Linked DNA regions of Canis lupus familiaris. The protein of the gene in region 1 purifies or fractionates together with the protein of each later gene. This does not show direct contact. Links are inferred from orthologs where the notes say so. Each region holds a gene or a part of one and is shown in the gene's direction. Other genes may lie near its edges.

Region 1 (2,523 bases):
CCCTCCCAGGACTGCCCCAACCACGGCTTCAAGGTGGGCATGAAGCTGGAGGCCGTGGACCTGATGGAGCCCCGGCTCATCTGCGTGGCTACGGTGAAGCGGGTGGTGCACAGACTCCTCAGCATCCACTTTGATGGCTGGGACAGCGAGTATGACCAGTGGGTGGACTGTGAGTCTCCGGACATCTACCCCGTCGGCTGGTGTGAGCTCACCGGCTACCAGCTCCAGCCACCTGTGGCCGCAGGTCTGGGCTCTCACGGCCTCAGGGGACCCTCAACTTTCCTTTTCTTTTTCCTTCCTGTCAACTGCTCCCCCTGCCCCGTGCCTACCTCATTCTTTGGCATGAGAGCGATTGGTCTCCTGGACCACTGCTCACTAAAGAGTGGCCCTTGTGTCCCCTGTCCCGCTCCTGACTTGTCTGTCTCCCTCTCCCTCTGGCCTGCAGAGCGCCTTCCTTGATCTTGCCCACTCTGTCATATGCTCGTGCCCTTGTGCACCCAGGTAAACCCCCCAGGTCCCTCGGAGCACCCCTAGTGACGAGGGTGGGATGAAGGGACAGTTGCTTCCAGTCCCTCCCCCATTCTCACTCAACTTTGGCTTTCCTTCTTGGGGTGTCCCGTGTGTAAGGGAGGCTGAGGGATGGGTAGGTGTCTCGGGATGTGCCTGTACTGTGTCCTCTCAGAACTCTCTTAACCTCTTCCCTCTGTCTTTCAACAACAGAGCCGACCACACCTCTGAAGGCCAAAGAGGCCACAAAGAAGAAAAAGAAACAGTTTGGGAAGAAAAGTAAGTGATGCTCTGAAGAAGCGGCCAGGGCTGGGGTGGGCCTTGGGATCAGCTGGGCCTATGTCCCTGGGAGCAGAGGGGGAGTCGCCGCTTGGGTAGCACCCTCCATGGTCTGGTCCCTCCATCTCCTCTCCTTTGCCCTTCCGCCCCATCAGGCCCATCAGCCTGTGTCTTAAGGGACTCAGGTACAGATAGGGAGTCTTGAATCTCTGGCAGGGGTCAGGATCCCGAGGAAAAAAGCAAGAAACAGTATTTGTAAAGGAGAGAAGGGGGAGGAATCCCCAGCCCTTCTGCCCTGTGGTCAGAAGTCAACGCGACCCCATCGGCAGTGCACAACTGCCTTTTGAAAGTAAGATGGCGGGGGCAGCATCCTTCTCCCCAAGCCTGTCATCCTTCCCTGGGGACCCTCAGGAGTGGAAGCTTCAGGATCATTTCCTTAGGTGGGGCTCTGCTCTTAACAGATCCTGGGCCCTGTGCGGGCTCAGCTTGAGGGGGACAGCAGGTGGAGTGGGGTGGGAGGAGGTAAAGCTAGCCCTCGGAGCTGCCGGCCTGTGGCAGCAACATGCTCTCCATGATGTGGCGCCACCCAGAGAAGAGGTGGTCCGAAACAGGATGGGGAGGAAGCCGGCGTGGTCCCTGGGCAGGATCAGGGTCCGGTGAGGGTATGGAGCTGATCATGTGGGAAGACCTCGTGCCGTCTACACTAGCAGGGCTGGGAAAGTCACTTCACAGGTGAAGAAAAGACTGGAAGAGGGACAGAAGCTCAGCAAGCCTAACTGGGGGGCTTAACCTGCTACAGGAGAGAACCTCCCTGAGCGTCGGCACCCGGCCCCGAGGGGCGGCATCAGAGCTCACGCTCTGCTCCCCTGCAGAGTGGCACCTGCCTTCTGCTCACCACTGGAGGACACCCAGCCATCGAGCCCCACATGGATACTGCCCTGTGCTGGGTTTCATTCTGTGTTTATTCAAAGGGAAAAGAATACCACCGACCAAGACCCGGCCCCTCAGACAGGGGTCCAAGAAGCCCCTGCTGGAGGATGACCTGCAGGCCACAGAGAAGAGCTCATCGGATCCTGTTCCTGAAGAGAGTAAGAGCCTCCCGGGCGGGGTCAAGACAGGGCCGGCCTGCTCCAGTGCTCAGAGGCGGCCCGCCTCCTTCCCCACCTGGGCACAGAAGAGGAGAGTCAAGTGTGAAGGGACTTTGCCGGGCACCAAGCAGTCCTCCTTGGACCACTGGGCCTGGAGAGCTTCCCAAACACCCGCCCCCAACTCTGAACGGAGCCGCGCATCTCCAGCCGGGCCCTCTCCATCTCTACTGCCTGCCCCTCGGGGGGAAGGTGCCACTCCCACCTCCCCACCACGTCCTGAGGGCCCCCGTTCCTAGGGAGCCAGAGCCCCCTGCCCCTCCCAGGGTTTCACGCACACTCACTCTGTTCTCCCGCCCTCCCCACCTCCCTCCCTCTTTAGTCATTGCTGTGCAGGTGAAGGAAGAGCATCTAGACATGGCCACGCCCGACAAAGCCCCGAGTCCAGAGCTGCCCGTTCCCATCGAGAACATCAAACAGGAGACAGACGACTGAGCCTTCCCCACCAGCCCGGGGCTCCTCTGTTGCCACCACCCCTTCACCCTGCTTTAGTGTGGAGACAAGCCTTTTTTGCCCAAGTCCTGCCAGGTGCCGTGAGGGCCAGGCACCAAAGGACCTCTGTCCTCTGGCCAGGCCTCCAGATTTGTCTGTG
Region 2 (3,748 bases), on another chromosome or scaffold:
CCCGCAACCCCCCCCCCCCCCCCCGGCCCAAGCGGGTTACGCCCCAGGGCGCAATGCAGAGCGACTCAGGCATCAGGAAGACAAAGTAAAACCAGTCGCACCAAGGAGAGGCAGCGTTATTTAGGCAGCCAGCTACTCCCCCAGAGCCTCCACCCTGTCCCCTGGGCCCGGCGCCCGGCGCTCAGACAGTGCCGGGCTCCTGGAGCCCCAGCTCCCTCCACGTGTCCTGTCTTCCCAGCAGCCTCCTCTGCAAGCCTCTGGAAGAAAACCTCCTGACAACTCGCGGTCTGCGGACTACAACTCCCAGCAGACACCGCTTCGCTTCGCTCTCCGCCCCCCTCCACAGGACACGCAGGCGCTCTGGGCTCCGTCAGCAGGCTGGACCGGCGACGGCCGTGTGCAGCTCCTTTTGGGATTTGTAGTTTTTCCGGAGCCAGCCGGGCCGTCAGTCAAAGGGAAGACAACTACAAGTCTCGGCGGCCCCAGCGTGACGGACCGGGTCACGTGGCAGGGGGCCGACCGGGCGTGCGTGCCGCCGTTGATCCGGTGCTGCAGTGAGGAGGTGGTTCTCGCCCGTGTTGTGTGTGTGTGTGTGTGAGTGAGAGAGCGAGTGAGTGAGTGAGTGTGTGTGTGTGTGTGTGGGGGGACTCGGCTTGTTGTTGTCGGTGACTTCCCCCTCCCCTCCACCCCTCCCCCTTCCCCGCCGCCGCTGCAGTGGCCGCTCCCTGGGCCGTAGGAAATGAGCGATAACGATGACATCGAGGTGGAGAGCGACGTGAGTCCCGGGGCTTCTTCCTTCCCGTGCGGGTTGTCAGGCGGGGACAGCGGCCGGGGCTCTCAGCGGGGCGACGGCGGCAGGGGGCCGGGCAGCCGCCTCCTCCTTCCCCTTCCCCTCCCCTCCCCCGGCTGGGACCGCCTCCGCCGCGCTCCGGGCTCGCTCCCCTCCAGGCTCCTAGCCGGAGCGGCCTTCTGGGACTGGAGGTGGGGTGGAGACACGCGGCCTTTGGGACCCCCCACCTCCCCCGGTGGAGGAAGGTGCTGCTGCCTCCGGCTCCCACCCTATCCCGCTCAGGATCCGGGGGTCCGGGACAGGGTGCGCCCGGGATCCATTGTCCGCTCCCGGGGAAGGGGACGCCGCTCGGGACCTGCCCCCCTCGGTTGCGATCACCCTCTTCCCGTGACCCACGGATCCTGGCGGGTGAGGGAGGGCGGAGAGGGGGTGGGAGTGCCCAGATGCCCAGAGCTGGGTGCGAGGGGAGGAGACAGTGCTCTGAACCCCCTCCGGCCGGAGTCGGATCCCGGAAGGAGGGGCGGCGCTCGGGACCCCCCCTGCCCGGCTACCGGATCCCGCTGGGGGGATGGGGGCGTGGGGTGAGGAGGGAGGGAGGGGGGTCTGGCTGACTCCCCACCCGCCGCTTCCTCCGCCGCCGGCATTTTCTTTCTTATTATTGAATGTGAAGTGTAAAAATAACTTCTATATTTTCTATTTTTTTTTCTCTCTTATTCCAGGAAGAGCAACCGAGGTTTCAATCTGCGGTACGTCTCCTACTCTCCATTTCATTTTCATTTCCGTTCAGTTCTAGTCCTTTTTGGGGTCAGAGAGAAAAAGATTGTCCTATTGTTTTTAATACTGTAGTAAACTCTTCTGTAACCGCTAAGGTGAGGCGGGGCAGTTTTCTGGGGTTCTAGGTGGGGGGCGGGGGGGCGGGTTTTCAAATCTCCTCATCCTAGACTCTCCGGTGTTTCAGTGAGTGTAGGTGAGTGAAAGGAGCTGTTTGCAGAGAAATGACTCTTTCTGTAGTTTCCAGGTGGGGGATCTAGATGTCACTATGTAAGTGTAAAATGAGAAATGTCATTCTGAAGTAAATTGTATTATTTTGGGGCAAAGTGGTCAGATTTCGTTTGGCACAAGCAGATTCTAAACCATACATGCACAGTTATGTGAAGCTGAAGCCACATGCAAAAAATCATCTTTAACCAAAAGTCACGTGGTCATGTGACTGCTGTAGACCTATAGAATCTGGCACAACCTGGTATCATTCTAATGCAGAAATTAGAAATGTAGAGGAACCAAAGGTTGAATATGAAAGCGTCACAAACTGCTTATTTTGGTCTGATTGAGTTGAAGGAGAGGTATAAAAGAAAATGGAAAAATTGTCAAGGAAAGGTGGCATTGCAGAGATAGATTTGCTAAAAGGTGGTGGTTGAGACATGCAATGTTATCAGTAAATTTCTCAGGGTTTGGTATTAATGTTGTCAGTAGACGGTTCCGTGGATTTGGATAGATACTACTCTCATGCCTTTCCAGTTTGGGACAGTACCATGAATAGATTAGAGAAAAAAAAAAAAGATAGACATAAAAAAAATCAGAGTCAGAGAGAGGAAGAGAAATACATCAGAGTGTCTAACATTTGACCGATGGGAACAGTACGAAGTTTATAGAATGGGGGTCAAAAATTCAGATGCCTCTGGGGAGCCCAGGCAGTAAGATCGTTGGGAATAAAGAGTGGAGGTGAGGACTGGGTTCTGGAATGCACATGTCTCATCTGAAAAGGCAATCACTAAACTCCGGTGGGGGGGGGGTGTTATGTGGGAGTAAGGGCTCACTGTTTCCAGATCTTATTTTTAAAGAAAGTCTAGAAACCCAGATTTTTATGTTATTTTTCTGATTTTTGAAATGATGTTTGGGACATCCAAGTTGTTTGGGAACTTGTTAGAATATGCAGGATGACACTTTGGTACCTCTGGTATCCCAGGATAAAAGCAAGTCCTCTTCCTTATATCTGTTCTTTTTTAGAGCAAGCAAAGTTTCTATAGGTTGTCCATGCAGATAGGCATTAAGAAAAAATATTGTTTATTGAGAGCTGATATTTGCTGTAAAATCTAGAGTATGCAGTTGTTCCAGAAGATTTTAAAAATTATACCTGGGTAAAAGTCACTATAAAAGGTTTGTTTGTTTTATCTTTCCTTGATATATTGTCAGACACTTACCTTTACGTGTTTATTTGGAAATTCAGTTCTTTTTTTCTAGTCACTGTGATCCTTATTGTGAACGTGGAGTTTCATGTTTGGGATCCAGTCTATTTAAAACATTTTTTTTTCCAAGTCTCCAGTTATAAAATGTGCCCCAGGGCTTGATCAGGATTGGAGGATAGGGATTGGTTAGGCATGCTTTGCAGAATCATTATTTGACTTGGAATTACATTGGCTTTCCAGTGAGAGAAAGTTTTCTTTGTGAAAGTTTGGCTTACAGCTCTTGAAAGCTTTCTGCTTTTCAAAATATCCATCCACAAGGGTATTGATGTAAATTGCTTTATTAAATTATTAAAATGTTTCCACTCTCCTAGAATGCTAATGTCATTGTTTTTTCTAGATATTTTTAGTTTGGTGGTAAGGTGCCTAGGTTTTTTTTCTCGTTGATTTTGGGAGGTGGGCAGTGGGAGTGAATTTGACCCTCTGTTTTTAATTTGACACCTCTACTTGCTGAGACTTTTAAATATTATCTGGCATAAAATAATCACCATAGTATGGAGAGAAGAAGCAATAGATAAATTTTATAGAATATCAAACAATTATCGTGAACAAGTGGGGTAAAATGGATTTTGGGTTTTTTCCCTCTGCGAATACATCAATTTCCCACCATTTAGTATAAATAATAAATATATTTTTTAAAATTTGGGGGAACTATTCTTAAGCTTTGTATTAGTTCAGAAAAGGATGTGAACAACCAAGTATTTAGGACTATTGG

The links. Proteins that work in one complex are often made in the same cells at the same time.
Region 2: the proteins of L3MBTL2 (region 1) and MAX purify together in Homo sapiens (affinity purification with mass spectrometry; 6 studies listed by BioGRID and IntAct, with this or other methods). This does not show direct contact. The link is inferred for Canis lupus familiaris from reciprocal best matches to the Homo sapiens genes L3MBTL2 and MAX.

What each region holds. Positions count from the first base shown.
Region 1 is NC_049231.1:24,958,531-24,961,053, reverse strand, and holds part of L3MBTL2 (lethal(3)malignant brain tumor-like protein 2), read left to right. Parts: intron 1-9; coding exon 10-244; intron 245-445; exon of another isoform or gene 446-501; intron 502-720; coding exon 721-786; intron 787-1,730; exon of another isoform or gene 1,731-1,757; coding exon 1,758-1,874; exon of another isoform or gene 1,875-1,950; intron 1,951-2,253; coding exon 2,254-2,366; 3' UTR 2,367-2,523. UniProt on the Homo sapiens protein: Putative Polycomb group (PcG) protein. PcG proteins maintain the transcriptionally repressive state of genes, probably via a modification of chromatin, rendering it heritably changed in its expressibility.
Region 2 is NC_049229.1:39,737,774-39,741,521, reverse strand, and holds the start of MAX (protein max), read left to right. Parts: upstream 1-1,218; 5' UTR 1,219-1,233; coding exon 1,234-1,371; intron 1,372-1,509; coding exon 1,510-1,536; intron 1,537-3,748. UniProt on the Homo sapiens protein: Transcription regulator. Forms a sequence-specific DNA-binding protein complex with MYC or MAD which recognizes the core sequence 5'-CAC[GA]TG-3'. The MYC:MAX complex is a transcriptional activator, whereas the MAD:MAX complex is a repressor.